Saccharomyces cerevisiae S288C: one gene and its partners. The protein of the gene in region 3 interacts with the protein of the main gene of each other region in a biochemical or structural test. Each region holds a gene or a part of one and is shown on either strand. Other genes may lie near its edges.

What was found.
Region 1: of the proteins of HHT2 (region 3) and SET1, one has a biochemical effect on the other in vitro, tested with the Saccharomyces cerevisiae proteins (4 studies listed by BioGRID).
Region 2: the proteins of HHT2 (region 3) and SIR3 form a complex in vitro, tested with the Saccharomyces cerevisiae proteins (6 studies listed by BioGRID, with this or other methods).
Region 4: the proteins of HHT2 (region 3) and SPP1 form a complex in vitro, tested with the Saccharomyces cerevisiae proteins (3 studies listed by BioGRID, with this or other methods).

What each region holds. Positions count from the first base shown.
Region 1 is NC_001140.6:342,939-349,785, reverse strand, and holds SET1 (histone methyltransferase SET1), read right to left. Parts: upstream 3,744-6,847; coding exon 501-3,743; downstream 1-500. Other genes in the region: mismatch repair ATPase MSH1, read right to left, coding at 1-212; ORC6 (origin recognition complex subunit 6), read left to right, coding at 4,158-5,465; protein channel TOM71, read right to left, coding at 5,518-6,847. UniProt on the Saccharomyces cerevisiae protein: Catalytic component of the COMPASS (Set1C) complex that specifically mono-, di- and trimethylates histone H3 to form H3K4me1/2/3.
Region 2 is NC_001144.5:1,018,033-1,026,318, forward strand, and holds SIR3 (chromatin-silencing protein SIR3), read right to left. Parts: upstream 4,220-8,286; coding exon 1,283-4,219; downstream 1-1,282. Other genes in the region: 40S ribosomal protein eS1 RPS1A, read right to left, coding at 109-876; ECM7 (Ecm7p), read left to right, coding at 4,593-5,939; GMC2 (Gmc2p), read left to right, coding at 6,157-6,540, 6,623-6,805; NGK1 (hexokinase), read left to right, coding at 7,182-8,286.
Region 3 is NC_001146.8:575,140-581,061, forward strand, and holds HHT2 (histone H3), read right to left. Parts: upstream 912-5,922; coding exon 501-911; downstream 1-500. Other genes in the region: putative tyrosine protein phosphatase SIW14, read left to right, coding at 1-212; HHF2 (histone H4), read left to right, coding at 1,588-1,899; KTR5 (putative mannosyltransferase), read right to left, coding at 2,066-3,634; DNA-binding transcription factor CRZ1, read left to right, coding at 4,441-5,922. UniProt on the Saccharomyces cerevisiae protein: Core component of nucleosome. Nucleosomes wrap and compact DNA into chromatin, limiting DNA accessibility to the cellular machineries which require DNA as a template.
Region 4 is NC_001148.4:288,221-295,857, reverse strand, and holds SPP1 (Spp1p), read left to right. Parts: upstream 1-3,430; coding exon 3,431-4,492; downstream 4,493-7,637. Other genes in the region: protein phosphatase regulator GIP3, read left to right, coding at 1-3,041; UME1 (Ume1p), read left to right, coding at 4,807-6,189; putative mitogen-activated protein kinase kinase MKK2, read left to right, coding at 6,824-7,637. UniProt on the Saccharomyces cerevisiae protein: Component of the Set1C/COMPASS complex that specifically mono-, di- and trimethylates histone H3 to form H3K4me1/2/3, which subsequently plays a role in telomere length maintenance and transcription elongation regulation.

The DNA of each region.
Region 1 (6,847 bases), on a different chromosome or scaffold from region 3:
CTTGATAGTTTGTCATCTTGCTGAGTCGAAAGACAATTTCGTGTGTCAATTGAACCCAAATTATCTTTTTTTTCGCTATTTGATTCAGAAATTTTATTAAAACTAATTTTGAGTTTTGATATTTTTGGTTGAGCGGTATCAGTACTAGAATATCGTAAGGAAACCCTAGAAATGGGCCGGAATGCTGTCGGTAGCCTAAAGAAATGCTTCATCCGTGGCCTTTACGTTTTCTTGCGCATATGTTATGTACCATCTATATTATTGAATGTTCGTGTTTTCAGGCATTTCTCTGCAAGCAAAAGTCATCGCGAAATCTTTATTCTTCAACAGTGAGAGATCGCAAAATTTTCCAAAAAAATGACACGAACAAAAGTACTAATCGTTAAAATAATGGCCGAGATTACTTATAGATGTATACAGTTTAGTATTTATCTTTACCTTTTGCTGGAAAGCAACGATATGTTAAATCAGGAAGCTCCAAACAAATCAATGTATCATCGTCAGTTCAAGAAACCTTTACAATTAGGTGCTCCACATAAACAAGGAAGTCTTTCCTCGTCATCCTTTTCTCTCTCAAATTTGTAATCATATGTCAACTCTTCGCTTGCCGCGATATCACGCAGTGCATAGATAACAATTCTCCTTCTCCCGCCAACCTTTATAATCTTTGCCGTACAATTTGGATCACAACAATGATTAATGAAACGGGCTATACCACCTTTCTTGGTGGCATCAATAACCGTGTTTTCATCAACCCTAAAAAGGTAACTGGATCCAATCCCATTTTTCAGATATCTTTTCTCTCTCATTTCTGCTACAGGTTGCCTGATCCTTTCACCAACGTACTCGATAATCATTTCCTTTGCTGCGATAGAGTCTAGAGCATATAAACCCCAGTTGTGAATTGCTGAACGAGCGAACATAACTGGCTTTTTTCTTTTATTTAATTGATTTAGTGATAGCAGCTCAGATTCCGTACCAATTGCGGCTTTCTGTGCCTCTATGTCCTGCTGAAATCTTCTATTTGATGCCCTATTATCTCTAGAGGATGAAACTTCTTGAGGAACTGAGTCTGAAGGTTCTTTATTCGAGGATTCTTCTCTTTGACAAAGTTCAGGTGTGTACTCATTCCTTTCATTGTGAATATTCACCGTATTTAAAGGTTGGTGAACTCTGCGACGATGGGGTAGGTAATTAATTTTTAATTTATCCGCAATTTTCCTGAACCCTTCAGCTTTAAAAGAGCTACCTGGTTGTAGTTCACTATCAAATAAAGTTCCATTAAGCTCTATTTGCCAATCGGAAGCCTTCTCTTCTTCAAGAACTTTTCGGCGAGATTGCCAAATTTTATATTCCAGAGCTGCGCTTGTTTCTGGTGTGACGGTAGGAGTATATGTGCTCAATAACTGCTTTAAAATTAGCATATCTTCCTCATCTTTGATAGCATTCTGCAAATCCATAGAAGATAAAGTCTGACTATATTTCAAGTCATATTCCTCAGGTGGATATACAGGTTCGGGAATTTCGGTAGCAGTAGGTTTATACATCGAAGAAGCATCCAGTACGTCAGACGACCCATTTTGATCGGGTACTAACGGCTTAATACCATGAAGGTGATCAGATTCGGGGGTGGTTGGCTCAGACTCACTCTTGAATTTCTTATCTGGAGCTTCTTCTTCCTCTTCTTCAGAAGATGAAGATGTCATATTTTCGTCTTCTTCATCATGTTCTTTTGATACGCGAGTGATCCCTTCATCGTTCAATGGGGTAGTTTCTTTGGAATCGGTTTCTTCGTTCAGTAAATGTGCCATTGGTTTGATACCATTGGATAGCTTTTTCCTCTTTAAAGAAGTATGATCCAACGCGAGTGAATTATGCCTTTTTAAATTTCTTTTATTAGATTTTGCATAGCCACCATATAAACCAAACAAATCAAAATCTCTTTTGGCTTCTTCTTTACGTTTCAATTCATCTTCAGCAATTTTAGATGCAATCTGTTGTCTCTTCTCTTTCTCCTTTAGTTCTCTTTTAGCTAACAATTCAGGAAAATTTGCATGGTCCAAAGCATCAAATACCGTAGGACCAATCAATCTCTTCTTAATATCAACATGTAAAGTCTTTTCCAAATCTTTTAATATTTGTTTTGCTGTAGCTTCAATGAACTCCTCTTTGGACTCGTATTTTATAGGTACATTTGTAGAATTTGAAGATGAGCTAGATTTATTGAATCTAGTTCTGTTTTGGAACCTAGGGAGAATGAGATGAAACTTTATTAGAATAGGAATTCTTCTGCTCCGAGACATTATTGTTAAATTTCCTGACTCTGCATTCGAACATGTTTGCGCATGGGCAATGTCATTAAAAATAATATAGATACCAGTTGGATGATCAATAAATTTCGCACATCTGTATCCCCTTAACTTGTATTTAAAGTCCTCAACGCAGAACCTATGTTTGGCAACAAATATTTTGGAGACATGTAAAACAGGTCTGTTATTAACTACCCCCAAGAGATCATATGGAATTCTTTTTTCACTTCCGGACGAATGAGATAATGTGTCTACCTTAGGTTCCTTGGGCAAGGTAATATCTTTGCCCTGTAATTCCTTTGCTTTTTCGTTTTCTGCTTCTTTCTCTTTAGCCTTCTTCAGGTTCTCTTGTAACTTCTGTAGCTTTTTGACATTTATTTCAACAAATTTAGAAATGATATTATTCAAAATGGAATGCTTGTTTAAAATCACTTCGAACTTGAAGCCCATGATAAAGCAACCCGAAGATTCGTGCTTTCTAACGGCACTAAAGGCTGCTTTTGCTGCATCATTAATTTTTCCATCAGAACTGGCATACTTTATAAGATAAACATGCAAAGGTAAAGCGCTATTAGGATCATTAAATGCTTCAAAATGAGAAATTTCTCCATACTTTTTAAAATAGTTTTTTATTGATATGTCTTGGATATTGGTTGTTGTTGAATCTTGCGCTGGATAGACAACTATTTCACATGAAGGGGGAGGCCCTAAGGAGTACCTGTCATAAGATATGCGAGGCAATAGAATTAGTGAGTTCCTGCATTTTCTGTGGGTTGCCACTTTTCCGCTAGTCATGATACCGTTTTCATTACGTGGGTCGGATGCTTTTATCTCCGGATGTCTGTGTTTTATTTTGAACTTAAACTGTCCATCTTGTAACTCTTTGACTACGTAATAACCTGTTTCAGAAAATTCTTTATCTGTAGCCTTCCACGAAAGCATCTTATCCTTATTGAAGAACTCGCCTTTTATGGGATCAAAATAATGAAACTTAGACTTCAAATTATCTGTGTTGTATCTCAAAACTGAAGGTGGTCTTTGTTGCAAAAGCAGAGCAGATTCTGTGGGAAGAGATCCACTCGAAGACGCTAATGTATTGTGAACATTGCTATTTGAATACCGTGATTGAGACATGCCCCTCCGACTACTGATGTCAGATTTCTTATTTACATATGGGCCGCTTTGGCTGTTGTTAGTAGCATAGTACTGTCGCGTACTTGCATTGTTTGAACTATGTGGGCGATCGTCATTATAGCGTCGCCTTGTACCATCATTATGGTTATAACGTCGACGTTGATTATATTGACTAGAATATTGTTGGTGAGAATGGCCGTTTGAATACTGATAGTGACCAGAACGCGAATATTGAGGCTGTTCCTGGGGTTGTCTGTATGAACCAGAAGACGCGTGTGCTCTTCTATAGTAATTTGACATTCTCTAAACGCAGAGACCTCTTATAAAGATTCAACAAATAAGGAATGTTACCTATGCTAGTCGCAACTCTCTCGTAAGTTGAGGGTTGCTAACAGAAAAACGATGAGAAGAAACTTTTGAAAAATATTGTGTGAAAGCAGCACGAAACAGAGTATGAAAAAAGAATGCGGGCGTCCGTAAAGAGCTAGAATCGCAAGTGTCCAGAATATGCAAGGCTTTCGAATACACTCCTCACGCTTCTCTTCAGCAAAAATCAACTCTTTGTGATAAAACTGTGTATTTCTTTGTTCTTTGCCGTTGTTTACGTTAGTAAGAAATCGGCATTGAAAAAAAAAATCTCACACTAAAATTGCAGAAAAAAGTGTACAATATCAGTAAATAAAATTGGCCAAAACAATACCATTAAAACCAGTCATGTCCATGCAACAAGTCCAACATTGTGTCGCAGAAGTACTTCGACTAGATCCACAAGAAAAACCGGACTGGTCGAGCGGATATTTGAAGAAGTTGACTAATGCGACATCGATTTTATATAATACTTCACTGAACAAGGTAATGCTGAAACAAGATGAAGAGGTTGCTAGATGTCACATATGTGCATACATAGCGTCACAGAAAATGAATGAAAAACACATGCCTGACCTTTGCTATTATATAGACAGTATTCCCTTGGAGCCGAAAAAAGCCAAGCATTTAATGAACCTTTTCAGACAAAGTTTATCTAATTCTTCACCTATGAAACAATTTGCTTGGACACCGAGCCCCAAAAAGAACAAACGCAGTCCAGTAAAGAACGGTGGGAGGTTTACTTCTTCTGATCCGAAAGAGTTGAGGAATCAACTGTTTGGTACACCAACTAAAGTTAGGAAAAGCCAAAATAATGATTCGTTCGTAATACCAGAACTACCCCCCATGCAAACCAATGAATCGCCGTCTATTACTAGGAGAAAGTTAGCATTTGAAGAGGATGAGGATGAGGATGAAGAGGAACCAGGAAACGACGGTTTGTCTTTAAAAAGCCATAGTAATAAGAGCATTACTGGAACCAGAAATGTAGATTCTGATGAGTATGAAAACCATGAAAGTGACCCTACAAGTGAGGAAGAGCCATTAGGTGTGCAAGAAAGCAGAAGCGGGAGAACGAAACAAAATAAGGCAGTTGGAAAACCGCAATCAGAATTGAAGACGGCAAAAGCCCTGAGGAAAAGGGGCAGAATACCAAATTCTTTGTTAGTAAAGAAGTATTGCAAAATGACTACTGAAGAAATAATACGGCTTTGCAACGATTTTGAATTACCAAGAGAAGTAGCATATAAAATTGTGGATGAGTACAACATAAACGCGTCAAGATTGGTTTGCCCATGGCAATTAGTGTGTGGGTTAGTATTAAATTGTACATTCATTGTATTTAATGAAAGAAGACGCAAGGATCCAAGAATTGACCATTTTATAGTCAGTAAGATGTGCAGCTTGATGTTGACGTCAAAAGTGGATGATGTTATTGAATGTGTAAAATTAGTGAAGGAATTAATTATCGGTGAAAAATGGTTCAGAGATTTGCAAATTAGGTATGATGATTTTGATGGCATCAGATACGATGAAATTATATTTAGGAAACTGGGATCGATGTTACAAACCACCAATATTTTGGTCACAGACGACCAGTACAATATTTGGAAGAAAAGAATTGAAATGGATTTGGCATTAACAGAACCTTTATAACATATCCAGTATTAACTAAAAGTATATATTTGACCAATACCTGACATATCTTCTAAAGCATGCCTTTAGCCCTATAACGAGCTAATGTTAGCTCCATCTTTGCACTTATGATTGGATCAGCCCTCAAACGCTTTTGTATCTTTGCAGCTTCCGCGAAGGTAGTAGCTTGAAGTTTTTCATCCATAGTTCTTGCTAAAATTGCAGAATCTTCAAACAATTCTATGGCCTCGTCAATTTTTTCCATTTGTAATTTTAGTTGTGCTAACCCGATCTTCGCTTGTTCAGATCGTGGATCTAATTCACAGGCTTTTGTCAGCAGCTTAATGGCTGCGTTGAATTTCTCTTCATCCAACTGGGTTGGATCTTGAGAGGATTGTCTAGCTAATATAGTTGCTTTCCCAATCAAGGGTCCTATACCCACATGTATTTTTTCTTGCACTTCTTCCAACCTTTTAGCAATATCATATTGTTTAATTGCAGTATCAAAATCGCCCCTATCTGTCAAGATTTCAGCGAAAAAGGTGGGCACCTCAGGTAAGGTAGGAAACTTCAACTTTGTTTCATTGAAAAAAGCTTCAGATTCGGTAAATTTACCTTGCTTGTACAACAAACAGGCTAATTGAATGTAGGGATAAACATTTTCAGGGTTCAAGCTTTGGGCCTTTTGGAAATCTTCCTTGGCATTTTTATAATCTTGTAGAATAAAATACATCTGCCCACGGTGGTAATAGGTTGGCGGATACTCAGGGTTTAGATCAACAGCTTTTTGGAAAAATTTGAAAAATTCTTGAGAGTTTTCTTTATCGGCCAAGGTCAATGCCAAAAATATGTACGAATTTGGTGTTGGATGCAGGTTTATAGATTCTTGTAAAAGAACTTGGGCATCTAACAGGTTATTTTTTAAGAAATGGAAAATACCCGTGTAGCACAATGCCAAGGCAGCATTCTCTCTTAAAGGATCGTCCACTGTATTTGCAGAAAGTAGAGAGTGGTACATGTCAGTGGACTTTGTTAAAAGATCGTTTGCTACTAAGTAACCTTCATCTGTTGCAGAATATAGTCTTTGCAAAGCATCTGACAATAGAGCGTATGCAGTATCGTAGTTTGAACTGGTGTTCACACTAGAAACTTCTAAGTGAGAGTCAAAAATCCCAAAAAATGACGCCAGAGATGTGTTAGACGGCAAAACCTGCGAGCCTCTGCCTTCATCCTTCGATAGGTTTTCATTTAGTACTTTCATTGCTTGCTTATTTAAATTTCTTTCCAGCATAGGTTCAATGGAGGCTCCATCAAAGTCACCATTCAATGACAAAACAGATAGATCAAACATAGCATCAGTGAAGTTGCCCAGTGACTCGTTGGCAGATGCACGTCTCAGCAAG
Region 2 (8,286 bases), on a different chromosome or scaffold from region 3:
TATTAAAGAGACTAAAAAAATTAAAATCGAAAAAGAAAGATTTAAAAAATAAGATATGCATCACTCCTTTTTCCTGTTCCTTTCCTTTCTATTTTATTATTGGTTCCTTTACACAGTTTCCAAGACTTCGTCCTTGAAACCGGTAACCTTCTTACCCTTTTCTTCACCAGAACCTTCACCGTGCAAAGCCATCAAAGCACCGACATCGAACTTTGGTTGTTTCAACAACTTAACCTTTCTAACATGGATGTTTTGTAGTGGGAAAATGTCCTTGGTGGCGTTTTCAATTTCCTTGTTGATAACTTCTGGAATCAACTTGGAGGTCAATTGGGCCAAGGTAGATCCTTGAACTTCCTTAGTCAAGATTTCGGAAATAACCTTTCTGATAGCTCTGATATGGGAAGATTGAGCGTAAGAGTGTCTCTTAACTTGGTTAGCTTGCTTTCTGGTGAAGGCGATAGCAAAGATTCTCAAAACGTAATCATCAGAAGTCTTAACAGTAACGTTAGCTTCGATCAAAGTTTGCCACTTTCTAACCATGGATCTCAATTTATCAGTAGTGAAGTCCATACCGTGGAAGTTGGTCAATAAATTCTTACCTTGGACTTCGTCAACTCTTAATTTGATTTTTCTGAAAGAGTGGTCTTCAGAACCCTGTAAGTCAGCCAAGCAAACTTCGACAACTCTACCTTTCAAAGCATCTGAAGCACTCTTCAAACCAGTGGACTTGTTAACTAAAGTCTTACCAACATTTCTGTTTTCAAAAGTGGATGGAGCTTTAATGTCGAACCATTCCTTTCTGGTAAATGGGTCAACGACTCTCTTCTTTTGACCTTTCTTACCCTTGGATAGTCTCTTATTCTTTCCGACAGCCATGATTAAACGATTGGTTATTCGTGTGCTTGTTTTGTTTCCTTAATATTAAAGTTCACAACGTGAACACCTTCCTTTCTTAATAGAATAGTTGTGACATCTAGTCATTTTGGGTATATTATCGCGCAGGTGAGAGAGTCCTGGAATTTCCAGCGGATGGTGACGCGAGGCATCCGTAGTGCACAATAAAAAGTTAGTTTTTCATTAACCGAAAAAAAAAAAAAAATAAAATATATTAATGTTTGGGTTTCAACGTTTCCGTGGGTCTGGGTCCACAACAGAAAACTGTCCTGAAGTTTGATTAGGTTTTAGTAAGTAAACAGTTATGGTTACATTATTAAGGAATACAGAAGAGACTGCATGTGTACATAGGCATATCTATGGCGGAAGTGAAAATGAATGTTGGTGGTCAAATGCAGTCCATATTTTTGAATTCTTCATCCATCGAAAAGGCGTAATTTATTTCTAAAGGAAGTTTTAGTTCTACCATAATGCTTGCACTGGGCTCCTCGAGCACCACAACAACTAATTTTTCTCCCACTAAATCATTCACTACACTTATCCAAGAAAATTGCTTTAGTTTCTCTATAGTTATTGCGGGCTCCCAGGCACCGCATATGACCTTCTTAATTTCTTTTGACGCCTTGTACCCTGGGTTGTCCCGCAACATCTTCACCATCTTAATCAGGACGGTCTCCAGAGCAAGCGTATGACGATTCGTGCCTTCGGTTTCTTGCGCCAGGGTATATAAAAATGTTCTCATCAACAGAGACATTCCTATAATCTTCTTTGAAATAGTTTCATCCTTGAATCCGTTAATAGCTTCTGAGAAATAGCGTGGTACCATCTCCTGTGACACTACCAATTTACCCTTTTGTAGACCACCTTTCCGTACGAAGTCTTTTTTAGAAATTTCTACGGCAGCTTCACATATTTTGAATGCTTTTTCAGTACTACCACTTACGTTGGCTACGTTCTTTGCAATAAGTTGAGTGATTTTGTTGTTGATCTTATGATTGATTACTATCACATTATCTGGTATTTTCTGGTTCTGTCCTTCGCGAATATTATTGTAAATAGTCATTTCCTTCTTATCATTTACTTTGACATGAAAAGGTTTCAATAAAGATTTGAGTCGCGTGATGATCATTTGTTGCAATTCATTCTTGTCCACCTTATTAAGTTTGATTTCGGTAAAGTGTGCTTTGAGGGAGGGCATTATATTTATTTGCTCTCTAATCGTCACATTATGTCCGCCAACGCAAATGATAGACAATTTTGAATTTTTCGAAGAAATCCATTTCTCGAAATATTGTAAAATCTTCTCACTCAATAGATTTTCCGGATTTTGTATTAATATTAGTGTCTTTCTCTTTTTTGCTTTCGGGACATTTGTAATATAGAAGTTTAAGGCCTCTAGTGATATATCACCGCATAGATTTTCTTTAGAAATGGCGAACCATATTTTCTCATATAATGCATCCATTCCTGCCAGTTCCAAGGCATCAATATGAATGTAATCGAAAATAGGTAGTTCCTTTCGGGCCGAAGAGGTGATCAACTCATCCATTACATCATTCACAAGCTGGAATTTAGTAGAATCATCTGCATTGGTAATATAAAATAGTTTATTTTGGGAAGACATCAAACTGTCGTAAATCGGAAGGAATATTCTTGTAAAATCCTCCACTTGTGATTTTAGTAGTTCTCTCTTTTGTAAAGATTCTCTAATTGATTCCTCTAAATTTATATCAGCGTTAAAATTTGACAGAATGGTTTCTCTTCCAGATGAAGAGCATGCTTTTCTAAACTTATCCTCAAGGCCTGCAACGTCCAAGCTTGACTGTTCGTCTGTTAATTTGTTCAATTGGGAGGAATCTGTTACTTGATTATCTGGTGCAAACCGGTCTAAAATTATCTGATATTTTTTTTTCAACTTTGACAAAGTAGCGAAATCAATCATCTTTGCATTACCTTTTTCTGGTGTAGGATTTTCGTTCATACTATGAATTTTGGTGTTGCCCCTGGGAATTCCAGGTTTTCCATTTCCGTTCATTTCGTTATCTGTTTCTGTAGTGTAATTTTTAGAAAATTCTTGTGTTTCTTGAATGTGGATTTTTCTAATTTTACTGCTCAATTCGCTTCCGTGAGCGCCACGTCTTTTATTTACTGGTATTATTGCTTCATCAGAACTTTCTGAACTAACTTCATCTGTTTCCTCTTCAAGCCCACCATCATCACTCACTTCTGGATTATTTGCATATACAAAATTCTCTCGGCCGTCAACGAGTTCTGTAGATGTCTTCTCTGGCTTTGACCCAGGTTTACTTGAAAGCACAGATGTTTCATTGTTTGGCTCATAATCGGATTCCTGTTCTGAAGAGTTTATTGGTATTTCCTCTGAAACAATTAGTTCCTTTGATATAGATCTTTTTTGTAAAATTTTCGAAGAATCTGTAGGTGATGTGAGCGCAGAAGGGGACGCCGATGAGATGTTAGGGGAAACAGACTCTTCTTGGGGAGAAATTGAACCATGAGTTGTTGACGTTCCTCGCTGAGACGGTATATTTCCATTATTTACGTCATCATCTGCAGAGGGCTCGATTTTAATTTTTTTCATTGAAGGTTTCTTTGCTAGTCTTTTTGAAGATCTTTCAACTCCCATCTTATGCATCACCTGTCTATTTGTCTTCTGCCCACTCACTGGTACAGATACTCTTTTCAAGTATTCATCAGATTGTTTGGGTTCCATTTCCTTTACTCTTCTTATGATTTGAAAAATATCAATTGGTACAAACTTTTCCGCAGTAGGTTCGCATGCATAACGTACTAGAAAATCTCTATCCTCTATTTTATCGATACTACTATCATTCCATTGTGACTCTGGCAGTATCTGTCCAACTGCAATGAAATCCTTAAGCCAAATCTCTGATAGCTCAGCAGTTAAATATAACTCGCTCTTATTTACTTCGTTGAAAAATTTATCTTTGTAAAATTCTAAAGGATGATCTTCCTTTATTAGATCTGGCCTGAATTGTTCGTAGTACAGTTTTGGTTTGAGTTCAAACCATCTCAAGTAAGAAAAAACCCAAATCTCCACAACATTATTAAGTGTATTGAGTCTGATCTCATGGATCAAGTAGACAGAATATGTTTCCGTCACATTATCATTAAATATCACGCTCTCACCCTTCCCAAAACTCAATCCATCAGAAATTCTTTTCAGAAATACGTTTTCTCCTCCTCTTTTTCTTGATCTTCTTCTATTGTTGTCGTCAATAACCCTCCCCTGATCATCTGTAATGATAACTTGCCAACCGTCCAAATCTTTCAATGTTTTAGCCATTTTAGCTAATCCAATTGTTAGAACAAAACAACTTTCTTAAACCCCTGTAAGGAAGGTGATGAAAGGGCTGCTTATGTGTTTTTCTTTTTCATACTATGTTCATTTTAACTTTTTTGGAAAGAATAGCGTTTTCGCGGTCATATTACTGATGCGATGAAAATTTACAATTATTTCTTTATTTAGATTGATACATAATATGGTTAACTTTAAATACATCTTTTGGACGCCGCATAAACAAACGTCCCGAATACTTTGTTCCCCTGGATTCGTTGTTTGCTTAACACTGTCAACTCTCTACTTAGTTTCATTTACACCATTTCTTTGTGTATCAGTCATTGCGAATACCCTTGCATATCTAATGGATCGAAAATAAATGGTGATGTCAAGAATACGAGATACAATAGCCAGGCCATTCCAGAACCTTACAGCCCTTGAGAAAGTGGTACAGTGGCTAAGATTAGGGACGACATTACTCATAATCTCTTTCGGGTTGGCGTTGACTGTCGGACCCCTTTCTTCGCCAAGAACATTGTACATGTCACGACTGGATACTTACTCTGCTGATATTACGACGGGTTTATTTACCGTGTTGAGAGAGTCTATGGAGCAGTCGACATCTACAGAAGAAAATAACGGTGTAGGCTTAACAACATCCGAACTGTATATATTGACTGCTTACACCGAAAGTCAGATAAAGAATGTTCCTCAGTACATCACAGTGTCGCTTTATGGGAGGTGCGATTCAACATATACCATGGTGGAAGTATTCGACTCTGAAGGAAATATGCATAGCGTAAAGAATTCGACTACTAAGAGTACCTGCAGTAGCATAGGAACGGACTATCTTTTTGATTATCGTGAGGTTTTAGAAAGCTTGGGTTTAGATATCATTTTAGATTATGCATACAACAAAATCGGTTCACAACAGGCAGAAAGTTCTGCATACACGACCTACATGAGGAGTTTAAAACATAAAAAGGCCAACGTGTTACATTTACTCTATGCAGTTATTAGTTTCCAGGTGTGTATGTTATTTTTCATGATATGGTACTACTACATAAAGGGAAGGTTTATGAACGCCCTCAAAGAAAGGGCACTTGTTCATATCAACTCTCTACTATCGCTAGTTGTTTTCATTGGGGGCCTGATAAGTAGCATAAGCCTTGCCTGGGTTAACTACACTATTCAGTCTAGAATTAATACAGAATTAGAGGCCTTCGGGTTTTCTTACCATCTTGGAGTTACATGGTTTGCGCTTCTGTGGTGTTTTGCAGGTTTGATTTCTGTGTCATGCTTAGCTTGGTCTGGCTTAGAATGGTGTATTTCCGATAATGGCACGTCCTATGGAGGTGGAATCGATGATAAATTCTTAGGCTACCAAGCCGGTGTATTTACTGATGCAGATCTAGACGATGAAACTTCTTACAGTCAACGTTATCCGCAACGACAGTCTACTTCGGGCGAGGCTGAACTGATGAGAAACAGTGATACTATGGCAACAATAAGAAAAACATCTGATGTTGACTTAAATAGTGAAAATGATGCTAACACCAGTTTAGACCATGGAAATCCCACCGCAAATATAAGCAATGGCGGCAAACACGAACCATTTGCTACTAGAGAGGAATTCGAATTGCAGGACATAAGATTCCGGTCAAGCAACGACAGTGAAGAAAGTATGCAAAGGGTTATCAAGCCTTCGTCAGCATTACAGTTTTGAATTCTTTCACCCATCATTCAAAATGCATATGCATACTATATTTGTCTAGTTTTTAATTATATAATAATAATAACAGAAACAAAAAATCGCATTCATCGTTTAATCTTATTTTTCTTTTTTCACCTTTTTCTTGTGAAATTGCCAAGCGCTTAAAAAATCGTTATTTCAGAACTAAACATCATTAAGCAACGAAGAAGAGAAAAGCGGAACTATAACCATGAGTGATACTACGGAAGTCCCTAGGCAATCATCTGAGAACGACCAGGATAATAACTTGGAAAGAACCAACTCATTAAAAAGTCCGGACGTGACCAACAATATACCAAGTCTTTTCAAATTAGCCGCCGAATGGCAAATCAACAATCCACAGGAAACCTTCCAAAACCATATCCTGGAAAATGATGTACTCAAGAAAATTAATGAAATCACTCATTTGATCCGGGAATCGTACAAAGACCTCTCCAGTCAAGATGGGATGATGTCCAAACAACAACAGGAAAAGATGGATTGGGATTTGTTTTGTACTGTTCCTGTAAACATTATTGAGCAATATACAAAAGACATGGACGAAATATATGAAAAAATGGAAAGGCTAGCAAAAGTAAGTATAGGTCGAAACTAGGCATCCTGTGCCATCTCAATTTTACTACGTTCTTTTACTAATAATGCAAATTTAATAACAGCAACAACGTCTTTGGTGTGAATCCGCTTTTCAAATAGACGTGGAAAGATGTGGTGACTCCATTCTCAATGCTGAAACGTGGATGAAGAAGAAAGAGCGCCATTTAGAGTACAAAAATATTGAAATGGAAAGATCCGCAAATGAAATTAAGGAAACTATTCAAAGACTAACAGATGATAGATGAGCCATACTCAAATATATCTGCGATATTGCTAATGTTAGCTATTTCTCACATTTGCTTTTTTTGATTTTATTTATTTACTTTTACGACAACTGGCCTTATCACTCGGCTCTCTAAAAGAAGTCATGTTCCCTTCGTTGGGTTAATTTTTTTTTTTTTTTTTTTTGTTTATATGTTTTTTTTTTTTTTGCCAGGTATTGTTAGCGCCAGATAGCAAAAAATTTTATTCAGGGATACTGAACACCGGGGAAGTTAACTGAGTATATCGGTTATCATTATAAACACAAGAATGTAAGCCAGAAAGAAAAATAAACGTCCACCCCTCGAACTTTCACATATAAGCAAGTAAAGAAAAAGTTAACAAAAGGAGGTTCAGAACATGACAATTGAAAGCACTCTAGCTCGGGAATTAGAAAGCTTGATTTTACCCGCTGATTCCATAGTGAATGTAGTTGACCAATTCCAAGAGGAGTTGTTATCACGGCTTCAGACAAATACGATTTCTATGCTCCCGCAGTGTTTAGTCCCAGATAAACGATCGCGATGGAACCCTGAAGACAAAATTCTGACCATTGATTTCGGCGGGACAAGACTGAAATTTGCAATTATCTCTCTGCCCCAAATCGTTATCGAATACAATGATGCCTTCGAACTTACCTACAACATCGTTGATTCGAATTTCTTTAATCAAATCATCTATACAATATGTACCAGGCTGGCTGCAAATGGTTATATAAAAAAAAAGAACGAGTCATCTGAGGCGTCTAAATTTTTTGTTTCCGTGACATTCAGTTTTCCTCTAAATCCAGAAGGGGAGGTAGTTGCAATGGGAAAAGGATTTGTGATGACTGACACCCTTCAAGGATCCACGGTGAAACAGCTCATCCAATCTTCCTTTCACCGGATTATATCAGAAAATATCGAAGAATTTTTCTGTACCATGAACGTGTGTCATGTAATAAACGATGCAATTGCAGTTTCACTAACAAGCAAATTTATATGCGAAAACGATTCCATCTCATTAATAATAGGAACTGGTACAAATGCATGTTTTGAGGTTCCATACGGATATTTACCACCTTTCAAGAGAGATGCCCTGAGAGAAACATTACCGTCAAGCTATAATAAGGAGACATTAAATTTCAAACATGTTCTCATTAATTCTGAAATTGGCTTTATTGGTAAAAATGTCATTGCATTGCAACCGTTTGACATTCATGGAGCAATCTCATACGAAATGCCACTAGAGTGCGTTACTTCTGGTAAATGGCTTCCCCTATCATTAAAAAATATTCTATTGCAATATAACATAATCCCCAAAAACTTCCCAGTAGAGTTCAATGGGGAACTGGTATGCCAGCTGGCAGAAGACTGTACTAATGCTTGGTTCGAAAACGAACATTATGCACTAATTTGTCAGATCGCACGACTATTAATCAAGAGAGCCGCATTTTATGTTGCTGCAATTGTACAAGCTATTGATA
Region 3 (5,922 bases):
TACATTGTAATAGAGGCAAACATAGAACGGGGTGTTTGATTGGTTGTATAAGAAAACTACAAAATTGGTCGCTAACGATGATTTTTGATGAGTACAGACGTTTCGCATTTCCGAAGGCCAGGGCGCTTGATCAGCAGTTCATCGAGATGTATGACGATGACGAAATTAAGAGGATTGCTAGTAAAAACAACTGGTTGCCTCTACAATGGTAATATGTAGACAGTGATTACCTTTACGTAACTAGTCTCTTCGAAAATGATGTTTATTGATAATTATTATACATGGTTTCTTGCCGGTTATAAAATTACGTATACTATCTAAGCATCTAAAAATTAGCCCCGCAATTATGTCTGTAAACGATAAATTACAGCATATATACCCTCCTCATGTCGTTAAAAGCATTGCGAATAGATAGATGAATAATGTATTAAAAAAGGAGATGTTTGTATGATGTCCCCCCAGTCTAAATGCATAGAAAAAAAAAAATTCCCGCTTTATATTCATGATCTTTCACCTCTTAGTCTTCTGGCCAATTTGATATCCTTCTTTTGGATAGTAACACGCTTAGCGTGAATAGCAGCCAGATTAGTGTCTTCAAACAAAGAGACTAAGTATGCTTCGACGGATTCTTGCAAAGCACCGATAGCAGAAGATTGAAATCTCAAGTCGGTCTTGAAATCTTGAGCGATTTCTCTGACCAATCTTTGGAAAGGTAACTTTCTGATCAACAGTTCAGTAGATTTTTGGAATCTTCTAATTTCTCTCAAGGCAACAGTACCTGGCTTATATCTGTGAGGCTTCTTAACACCACCGGTAGATGGGGCGGATTTTCTGGCAGCCTTGGAGGCTAATTGTTTTCTTGGGGCTTTACCACCAGTGGATTTTCTAGCTGTTTGTTTAGTTCTGGCCATTGTGGAGTGTTTGCTTGGATCCTTTAGTAAAAGGGGAAGAACAGTTGGAAGGGCCAAAGTGGAAGTCACAAAACAGTGGTCCTATATAAAAGAACAAGAAAAAGATTATTTATATACAACTGCGGTCACAAGAAGCAACGCGAGAGAGCACAACACGCTGTTATCACGCAAACTATGTTTTGACACCGAGCCATAGCCGTGATTGTGCGTCACATTGGGCGATAATGAACGCTAAATGACCAACTCCCATCCGTAGGAGCCCCTTAGGGCGTGCCAATAGTTTCACGCGCTTAATGCGAAGTGCTCGGAACGGACAACTGTGGTCGTTTGGCACCGGGAAAGTGGTACTAGACCGAGAGTTTCGCATTTGTATGGCAGGACGTTCTGGGAGCTTCGCGTCTCAAGCTTTTTCGGGCGCGAAATGCAGACCAGACCAGAACAAAACAACTGACAAGAAGGCGTTTAATTTAATATGTTGTTCACTCGCGCCTGGGCTGTTGTTATTCGGCTAGATACATACGTGTTTGTGCGTATGTAGTTATATCATATATAAGTATATTAGGATGAGGCGGTGAAAGAGATTTTTTTTTTTTCGCTTAATTTATTCTTTTCTCTATCTTTTTTCCTACATCTTGTTCAAAAGAGTAGCAAAAACAACAATCAATACAATAAAATAATGTCCGGTAGAGGTAAAGGTGGTAAAGGTCTAGGAAAAGGTGGTGCCAAGCGTCACAGAAAGATTCTAAGAGATAACATTCAAGGTATCACTAAGCCAGCTATCAGAAGATTAGCTAGAAGAGGTGGTGTCAAGCGTATTTCTGGTTTGATCTACGAAGAAGTCAGAGCCGTCTTGAAATCCTTCTTGGAATCCGTCATCAGGGACTCTGTTACTTACACTGAACACGCCAAGAGAAAGACTGTTACTTCTTTGGATGTTGTTTATGCTTTGAAGAGACAAGGTAGAACCTTATATGGTTTCGGTGGTTAAACAATCGGTGGTTAAACAATCGGTGTTTGAAATTATTTTCATGCCTTTCAAAAAATAAAATAACGATCATTCTATTGGGAATATAATAGAACCTTATGTATGCATTTTTCGGTTTTTTATTATTTCATGTACTATATATATTAAAAATAAGTCTCAATAAAAGAAACTAGTTTCCGAACTGTCTTAGATAGTCTTCCCTTATGTGCTCCTCCATTTCATTGCCGTTGAGTGCTTCGACGTGGCGTTCGTGTCCCCTCTGTTGGTTAAGCAGATTTACCCAAATATTTACGCAGAAACCCATGGAATCCTCAATTTCACGCTTTTTCTTGGGACATCTGCACCTGCAGCCACACCCAAATTCCCTTCCCTCGTCGTAGGCCGCGTTTTTACGTTTGAATTTTGAGTCACTGGCTAAGTAGGAGAATTCCTCATTCCCCATGGCATTATGTGGACAATGCTGTATTGTGGAGTGTCTATATCCGATGTCTCTAAAATAGTGTACATCGTCCAAATCCAGAGTTAGCGACAATCCAATAGAGTGAACAGGAGCGTCCCCCCATCTTTCCTTCCAAAATCCACCACTTTTCTCCAAATATTGAAAAAAACTGTTGTAAATGTCATTGTCGAACACGCTTAGCCGCGCAATCTCAAAATTACTCCAGAAATGGCATAGATTGTACTCTTCATTGAAAAATTTGTCTTCTACGATATGCTTCCTAGAGCGAGCCTTATGTATCAAATTCATTATTCCCTCTTTGTCATCATTTATCTGTTGGAAATCATCACCCTTTTTCAAAAGCTGCTCGATGGCTATCTTTTCGGATATCTTAGCCTTGGCCTGAAAATCATAGTTGATCCAGTCCCGTAACTCCGGATCATCGGATTCAAAAATGTCGTAATCCTTTGTAAATAGTTTCCATAATGACCCAAGCGTAACGCCTTTTTGACTGATAAAGCTTTTAGTGTGTCTAAACAAATTTGGGACTGTCCAATACAATTCGGGGATGATGATCGTAAATCCATATTTCTTATTAGTTCGGAGCATCTCCAAAAAGGGATCGTAGGTAATATCACAGAAAAACTCAACATCGGGTTCCAATCTCCAATACCATTCGTACTTCTGTACTAGCGGGTGCTTGTAAAATAATCCTGAATAAAACCGGCACATCTTATGATATGATTCTAAGTTTCCGTAAAGTATGCTTCTATCACCTTGATCCTCAATTGCGTTGTAGAACTCGAACGTATCCTTTACGTCACTGGGAAAATTCCAAGATATCTCATCGATAGTGCCAAATTCCACCAGCGCGCCCACTGTAACATCACGTACTTTTGCTTTGAAGTCCTCTTCAAACGGCTGGTCATTTAAGAACACATATGGATAGTGGAACCACTGATTGAAATGCTCTTCTATACTGTTGATAGTCTTGATAACATCTTCTAGCTCCCCGTTCCTTGTTAGCATGACAAACGAGGCATTCTGCTTGATGTACGATGGATTCAACAAATAGTCCTGAGTATTCACACAATTCGAATAAAAGGGTCTGTCCCTCTTCGTCGCAAGATCCATCTTGGAAAACGGAAGAAAATTTCCCATAGTTCCGTCTACGGATGCAGGCTCAGATACAAGTACCACATACATGGTTATGACGAAGGCAATCAGGATGCACGTCGCCGTAAGATTGCAATGGATACATCCCAGAAATGCATTTATCGTCCTTCTTATTAGCAACATCTGCTACCTTATGACGATGTGCCGTATTGAGACACATTTATTGATGACACCTCCATTGAACAAGACTATTTGTGCACGGAAGCACTCATATCTACTACTTCGCATTTTTTTGAAGACCCTTTCTCGAATGCCTGCCCAAATTTTTCAATTTTCTTGGCATCATCCACACACCGCATGCTTAAAGTGTACTATCCAAAAAATGAGAGAAAAAGCAAATACCTAAAAGCACCCCACCTCTTCCATATCCCACGTAATGGCAATTGGCATATATGCTCGGCAAGGGAAATTACTGGTCGTAATATAGTGCAACATGCAACTTGCCAGGCGCACTATAGTCACATCTTATTATGTTAGCAGTTGAGCTCCAGCTTTGACTGCACTTTAGCTTAGTTGCAACTTCGCCCCTCTGTTGGGGGCTGAAAAGTACATCCGCGCATTTAACAATTGCTAAGCTATCTTGAATAACATTATACTAATTAATATCTATAGAAGCAGAATGTCTACTACGTCGAGGACCCTACCCCTGTATTTGTGCCTTGCATGAGCGAGCTATATATCAGCGATACGTTTTTTTGTTTTCCTTTCGACCTTCTTGCCTACCCTCTCACTTTTCCCACCTGAATTTTTTTTATCATATTAGTCCGATATTGAGTTTATAAACCTTGTGAAGTGCTAGATAAAGTACAATCAAAAGAGCAGGCAATAGCCATCACAGCAGTTTAGTACGATTATACACTCTGAACGCGAGTAAAACTAGGTTGTATTTTTAGTCTCGATTGGAAGTTTCGTCAGACAGTACAAGGAAGATGTCATTCAGCAACGGAAATATGGCTTCCTACATGACTAGTAGTAATGGAGAGGAGCAAAGTATAAACAACAAAAACGATATAGACGATAACAGCGCTTACAGACGTAATAATTTCAGGAATAGTAGCAATTCAGGATCACATACGTTCCAATTATCGGACTTGGACTTAGATGTGGATATGAGGATGGATTCCGCCAATTCATCGGAGAAAATATCAAAGAACCTTTCCTCTGGCATCCCGGACTCATTTGATTCTAACGTGAACAGCTTGCTGTCTCCGTCAAGCGGTTCTTATTCTGCAGATTTGAATTACCAAAGTCTATACAAACCAGATCTTCCACAGCAACAGTTACAACAGCAACAGTTACAACAGCAACAGCAACAGCAACAGCAACAACAACAGCAACAGCAGAAGCAAACACCAACTTTAAAAGTCGAACAATCTGATACATTTCAGTGGGACGATATCTTAACACCTGCTGATAATCAACATCGGCCATCCCTCACAAACCAGTTTTTATCTCCAAGATCTAATTACGATGGTACCACTAGGAGCTCGGGCATTGACTCCAATTATAGCGATACAGAATCAAACTATCATACGCCTTATTTGTATCCACAGGACTTAGTTTCTTCACCTGCGATGTCTCACTTAACCGCGAATAACGATGATTTTGACGATCTTTTGAGCGTCGCATCTATGAACTCAAATTATTTACTGCCCGTAAATTCACATGGTTATAAACATATTTCAAACCTTGATGAGTTGGATGACTTGCTATCTTTAACATATTCAGACAATAACCTTTTATCAGCATCAAACAACAGTGATTTCAACAACAGTAATAACGGAATTATTAATACCGCTGACACTCAAAACAGTACCATTGCCATTAATAAAAGTAAAGTCGGTACTAACCAAAAGATGTTATTGACTATTCCAACTTCTTCCACACCTTCTCCTTCCACTCATGCTGCCCCGGTAACACCCATCATTTCTATACAGGAATTCAATGAGGGACACTTCCCAGTTAAAAACGAAGATGACGGAACGTTACAACTAAAAGTTCGGGATAACGAAAGTTATAGCGCTACTAACAATAACAATCTACTTCGTCCAGATGATAATGATTACAACAACGAAGCTCTCAGTGATATTGACCGCTCCTTCGAAGATATCATTAACGGTCGAAAATTGAAACTTAAAAAATCAAGAAGAAGATCTTCTCAAACTTCCAATAATAGTTTCACTAGCAGGAGATCCTCGAGATCAAGAAGCATATCTCCCGATGAAAAAGCTAAATCTATAAGTGCAAATAGGGAAAAGTTATTGGAGATGGCAGATCTTTTACCATCCAGTGAAAATGACAATAATCGGGAGCGCTATGACAATGATAGCAAAACTAGCTATAACACCATTAACAGTAGCAATTTTAATGAGGATAATAATAATAACAATTTGTTAACAAGTAAACCAAAA
Region 4 (7,637 bases), on a different chromosome or scaffold from region 3:
CACCTATACTCCCCTCCCCTGCACTTGCAGTAAAAGACCTATCTACAGTTTCATTGAAAAGGGTCTCGTTTGCCGTCGATAAATTCGAATCCGATCCTCCCCAACAACTTCCTTCAAGAACCCCAAAAAAGGGAAACATCCTTATCCCTGATGACATGATAAGCGAGGTTCCTTCTATTTCCGTGGGTATTTCCAGTAGCAACCAATCGGCCAAGTCAACCAATTCCAACATTAAGGGACCGTTGTACACTAAGAAGTCTAAAGAATATATACTCGCCCTGGAAAATCAAAAGTTGGCTTTAAGGGAGGCTGCTAAGCATCAGCAAGAAGCTCATTTTGCTGCTAATAGAATAGCCTTTGAAGTAGCCAATTTTAAGACTGCTTCGGATGCAGGCGGTAAGCTTACTGAAAAGTCATCAGAAGGCACCATTACGAAGCAAAGAGAAGAGGTGTCACCTCCAAATGTTGAAGCTGATCGGGAGCTTGAGAATAATAAACTTGCAGAAAACCTCTCAAAAGCCGGCATTGATAAGCCCATTCATATGCATGAGCACTATTTCAAGGAACCTGATCAAGATAAGTACCAAGACGGTCATTCTATTGAAAATAACGAAGTTACGCTGGATGTTATTTACACAAGATGCTGCCATTTAAGGGAAATTTTACCCATTCCGTCTACCCTAAGACAAGTAAAGGACAAGACAGCTCCCTTGCAAATATTGAAGTTTTTGAACCCTAAGCCTACCTTGATCGATATTCTTTCCTTTTGTGATTTCATCACCATTGCTCCCATTCACACGATTGTTTTCGACAATGTAGCTTTAAACCAGGATATGTTCAGAATAATTATTTCTGCTTTGGTAAACTCCACAGTTTTGGACAAATTGAGTTTAAGAAATGTACGAATCGACCAAGATGGATGGAAATTACTATGTAAGTTCCTTTTGCTAAACAAATCACTGAACAAGCTCGACATTTCCCAAACGAAAATCAAATCTGACCTTGCTGAATCACTATATCGCCATAACATGGATTGGAACTTGTTTACTGACGTCTTGTCTCAGAGATCTCACAAACCTATAGAAGAATTGTTATTCAATGGTATTCAATTTAGCAAAATTCCTTACTCATGCTTTGCACGTTTACTGACATCCTTTGCTACCCAAAAAAACTTTCCAGAATCGGGCATCAGGCTTGGTTTAGCAGGTGCCACTACTTCCAATATCTCTCAGGATTGTCTGAAATTTATCTTCAATTGGATGTCTCAATATAACGTCCAGGGTGTGGATCTAGCGTTTAATGATCTGTCCACTATGATTAAGCCAATGGTTGGTAAACTATCTGCTCTATCATATGATAACTTAAGATATTTCATTTTGAACAGCACTAATATTTCGACTTCTTATGATTTAGCTTTGCTCTTGAAATATCTTTCTAAGTTGCCTAACTTGATTTTTTTGGATTTGAGTAATTTGTCGCAATGCTTTCCTGACATTTTACCCTACATGTACAAGTATTTACCAAGATTTCCGAACCTGAAGAGGATACATTTGGATAGCAATAATTTGACATTAAAGGAACTAGCTGTCGTTTGTAATATTTTGATTAAGTGCAAATCGCTCTCGCATGTGTCAATGACTAATCAAAACGTTGAAAACTTCTATCTAATGAACGGCACAGATTCTCCCGTTCAACAAACTAACACAGACGGCGACTTGGATAGTTCGAGCACATTGGACGTTAAGGGCCAATTTGCTAAAAATAGTTTTTCATCCACACTTTACGCATTTGCTAGAGACTCTCCAAACTTGATTGGTTTAGATTTTGACTATGATTTGATATCAGAAGAGATTCAATCAAGAATAGCACTGTGCTTGATGAGAAATATGAAACGGACCATGGATTCGACTTTCCAGTTAGATGAATTGGATTCGCAAGATGATTTGCTATTCGATGGCTCTTTAGTAACTATGACCGCTGAAAGTGTTTTAGAAAAACTGAACTTGTTAAGCGATAAGAGTACAAAGGTCAAAAAAGACACCACGAAGAGATATTTGCTGAAAAAATATATTGAAAAGTTCCATATCTTGCACCATAATGTTCAGCATACAATAGATACTATGTTCGAAAAAAGGAAATCAGGTGAATTGCCATTGCAAGAAAAAGAAAACCTTGTAAGATTACTCCTTTTGGAACAAAACTTATGCAATATACTAGAATTGTTTTCGCATAATCCGAATCTGAATGATGTCCTTGGATCCAGCAGGGATGATTCGAAGGAAAGTGTTGACTCCAGCGAAGATTCAAAATTACCAGCATTGAAGCACGTTGAATCCGGATACCATGTTCCCGAAGAAAAAATACAACCTGAGAATGATGTAATTACAGCAAGACCACATTTAATGGCCACCGATTCTGGTAAAACTATTGACGTTTTCACAGGCAAACCATTGGTGTTCAAGCATACATCATCTAGTACTTCTGTAGGTTGTAAAAAGCAGGAAGAAGAAGAAGGTGAACTACATAAATGGGGTTTCTTCGTTCAGCAGCAGAGGTCTTTATACCCTGAAAATGAATCAACAAGGCAGACACCTTTTGCATCAGGTGATACGCCTATCAACACAGAAACAGCTGGTAAGTCAACTTCATCTCCTTCAGTTTCAACTTCTAACAATGAAACTGCTACCACTAGTTTATTTAGCCCAGCTAATCCTAAGATTTTACCAAAAATTCCATCCGGTGCTGTCTTAAGATCGGCAATCATGAAGGCTAAAGGTATTGATTCTATCGATGATTTGATTCAGAACGTTAACTCCAACAACATAGAATTGGAGAACATTTATGGTGAATCCATTCAGAATAGCGCTTCGACATTTACACCAGGCGTGGATTCTGATGTATCTGCGCCCAATACCGATAAAGGATCCGTAGAAACATTGCCTGCAGTCTCAACTGACGACCCAAATTGTGAAGTCAAAGTCACTGCTACCTATGACAAACTATTAAATAATTTGTCGATGGAGAGGTCAATCAGACTTTGAAGATACATGAATCCTTCTCTTCACTGATGGATCCATTTTCTTCTTCCTTTTTTTCACTGCATAAAACTTTTTTTATCAACCTTTCATATTTTCCATATTTATTTATATATACCGCCAGTAAATTTGGCGATATTCGATAGACTTAACAGATAAACTTTTTAAGATGAATTAAAGCACAGAGGATTAAGCTTACCTCTTTAGAATCAATTGATATGTTCGGCTACATATTAGACACTGCATATAACCCAAGGCGGGTAAAATATGAACAATTTCAATTGGGCTTTGTAAATGCTTACTTTTAAATGTAAACGAAGCTCATCAGAAGAAAAAAAACAAGAGATTTGGAAAAGGCTACTTCGACCTCAATAATTTCTCAGCCTATCTTTCTAATGTCATTACCACAATGGTGTCCACCGCATTCCACCTTAAAAAGAAATCCAACTACAGGAGAGGACGTATACTGCATATGTAAAAGGCCAGACTATGGGGAGCTGATGGTGGGATGTGATGGTTGTGATGACTGGTTTCATTTCACCTGCCTTCATATTCCTGAGCAGTTTAAGGACCTGGTGTTCTCTTTTTATTGTCCTTACTGTCAAGCGGGGATTACTGGTAAGAATAAGGACGCCATAATCAATGGTGAAGGGAGCTTGCCAAAAACCTTATGGAAAAGAAAATGTAGGATAAGTGATTGCTACAAACCATGTTTACAGGATAGTAAATACTGTTCTGAGGAACATGGTAGAGAATTTGTGAATGATATTTGGTCGCGATTGAAAACAGATGAGGATAGAGCAGTCGTCAAGAAAATGGTCGAACAAACAGGACACATAGATAAATTCAAGAAATTTGGACAACTGGATTTCATTGATAACAATATAGTTGTAAAAACAGATGACGAAAAGGAAATATTCGATCAAATTGTTGTACGAGACATGACGTTAAAAACTCTTGAAGATGATCTGCAAGAGGTTCAAGAGATATCGCTACCATTATTCAAAAAAAAGCTAGAACTTTTGGAAGTATATTTGGGATGGTTAGACAACGTATATACCGAAATGCGCAAGCTGGACGATGATGCTGCAAGCCATGTGGAATGTGGTAAAGAAGATTCCAAGGGGACAAAAAGGAAGAAGAAGAAAAATAGCAGCAGGAGTAGGGCTAGGAAAAATATATGTGGCTATTGTTCTACATACGAGCGAATACCCTGCTCTGTGGAAGAATTTGTCAGAGATTTTGGAAGTAATGAGGAAGCCACCAAAATACATGAGGTATGCACGAAGTGGAAGTGTAACAGACATTTGGATTGGGTGTCTACTAATCAGGAACAATACCTCCAGCAGATTGACTCTTTAGAATCTATGCAAGAAAGGTTGCAACATCTGATACAGGCCAGGAAAAAGCAACTAAATATACAATACTATGAGGAAATTTTAAGAAGAGGTTTGTAACGGCGTTGGAGCCTAATCAAATATCAGTTTCTACATATATATATACTTCGTAGTGATGATATATCAATTGGAGCGTCCTTGCATAGGCAACGCCTATTTGGATAGTCTTCAATTTCGACCCCATTTCACGTGAATAAAGCGGAGCTATCTCTGTTTTGCAAGGGTTCGGCCGATTTTGCTGCGAAATTTTAATAAGCGCATATTGATTTTTTCAAGCAATACTTTGTATATTCATGATCGAATGAATGAAAAAGCACCACTCCTCAGCCGCATACCTTCAGTATCGTATTTATTTCCTTCTTTAATCACTTAAAATGAGCACTTTAGATATTGCAGAAGACAACAAAATAAAAAATGAAGAATTCAAAATTTGGAAAAAATCAATACCCTCATTATACCAACATATTTCAAGTTTGAAGCCTATCTTTGGCTCAGGCGTTGACGAATCTCCATCGACACTTAGGAGTATAGTTTTCACTAACGATAGCTCATGTAATAAATCCAAAGGTGTTTTGAGCGTACCACTTTTATATTCTCAAGGGAGTGAAATCTTTGAGGTGGATTGTATAGTGCCACTCGGACTTCATTACAAAAAACCTGAAAGCATTTCAGAACCGTTAGTACAACCGGATTATACCATGGAATCTCAAAAGGTGGAGCAGACTGTTTTGATTCCAAAATGGGAATTTAAAGGTGAAACGATTGCAAAGATGATTTACGTGGATAACAGCGAAATAAATGTAAAGGTGATAGCCCTTTCTACCAATGGTTCTTTGGCATGGTTCAGAGAAGGTGTCAAATCGCCCGTTTACACAATGATGGAGCCATCCACTTCTCTAAGTTCAGCATCGTCCGGAAATCAAAATAAACCCTGTGTTGATTTTGCAATTTCTAACGATTCAAAAACCTTAACAGTAACTAAGGAAAAACATCTTGATAATGAAAACGCTACAATAAAATTGATAGACAACTCAGGTAAAATAGGAGAAGTGCTTCGTACAATACCTGTTCCTGGCATAAAGAATATTCAAGAAATCAAGTTTTTGAATAATCAAATATTCGCCACTTGTTCTGATGACGGTATCATAAGGTTTTGGGGTAATGAGATAGGCAAAAAGCCCCTTTGGATTCTAAACGATTCTTTGGACGGCAAAACAACTTGTTTTGCTGCATCACCGTTTGTTGATACATTATTTATGACGGGAACTAGTGGTGGGGCTCTCAAGGTTTGGGATATACGTGCAGTTATCGCTTTAGGGGATGCTGATGCTGAGTTAAATATCAACCAAGGACATAATAAAGTCAATGAACTATTCAAAGTTCATCACTTTTATAGCGAGCAAGTGTCCAAAATAGAGTTTTCTTCCATTTCGCCTATGGAAGTGGTTACAATTGGAGGGTTAGGTAATGTTTACCACTGGAATTTCGAACCTGTTTTTGCCATTTATAACGAGATACATGAGGACTTTCAAGGCATAATATCTGACGAATTGGAGGCCGAAAGCATGGCATTTTATCACACTGAGGGCTGCAGAAGAGAAATAGGAGAAAATAATAAGGTTAATACCGTTGCTTATCACAAATACATTGAGGATCTAGTTGCTACAGTTGATAGTGACGGGTTGTTAACTGTATATAAGCCGTTTACTGGAAAAGTTTTAGATGGCAGTAGAGAGGTTGGAGCTGCCAAAAGTTAATTTTTATATTATTTAGGCTGTTTGAGTTTGGGGCGGAAATGTATGAATAAATTGTGTAATATTTAGTCTTTACTTCAGCTTTTGTTTTTCTAAAAATTTGTTTTTAATGTTTTATTGTCTGAAGTAAACATTAATTATTAGCTTGAGAATTGCTCTACATGTATATATAAACGGCAAGGATCTACTCTTTAATATAGAGAAATGTACATACCTTTGAAAACGCGTTTTCAGAGTTTAGAATGTATAAGGTAACCTTAGAACCACATCTCTTATTGCCAGACTCTCAAAGGTGAACTGATATTGAGCCTATTTTACCCTTGTTTATGTTCACTTTCTCAATGCGAAAAAAAATCAAAAAGAAATAAACTTTATCCTTAGAGTTGAAGAATTAGAAAGAGAATAAATCAAAGGGATCAGTTGGGAAAGCTCAATACTTTCCGCTTAATTTTACTGAAAACCTCATCAAACACGTAGGCACATATATATTCATATATTTATATGTTGGCTACCTTCTAATTTGCATGAAATTCGTTCGCTCAAAAAATTAGACATTTTACTAGTAGCAAGTATTACCTGATTAGCATAGCAGGCACTGTTATCATATCTACAAAATACCAATTATATACACAGGATAATGGCTTCAATGTTCAGACCACCAGAATCCAATAGGAGTCACCAAAAGACTCCAAAATTAACGCTTCCAGTAAATTTAGTTCAAAATGCGAAATCCACTAATGATGGGCAACATCTCAACCGGTCACCGTACTCGTCAGTGAACGAAAGCCCATACTCCAACAATAGCACTTCAGCTACTTCCACTACGTCATCCATGGCTTCAAATTCCACTTTGTTGTACAATAGATCATCTACTACAACTATTAAAAATAGACCGGTACCACCTCCATTACCTCCCCTAGTACTAACGCAAAAAAAAGACGGTATAGAATATAGAGTTGCCGGCGATAGTCAGCTTTCTGAAAGATTTTCTAATTTGCATGTTGATATAACTTACAAGGAACTACTATCTAGTGCTCCAATTTCCACTAAGTTATCCAACATAGATACCACTTTTATCAAGAAAGATCTCGACACACCAGAAGGCGAGGATTCATACCCCTCGACACTTCTTTCTGCGTACGACTTCAGCAGTAGCGGGAGCAACTCCGCCCCTTTAAGTGCAAATAACATAATTTCTTGTTCCAACTTAATACAAGGAAAAGACGTAGACCAGTTAGAGGAAGAAGCATGGAGGTTTGGGCATCTCAAGGATGAGATTACTACACTAGGAATTCTAGGAGAAGGCGCGGGTGGTTCTGTAGCCAAGTGCCGATTAAAAAATGGAAAAAAGGTTTTTGCGTTGAAGACAATCAACACTATGAATACTGACCCAGAATATCAAAAGCAAATATTCAGAGAGCTACAATTTAATAAGAGTTTTAAGTCCGATT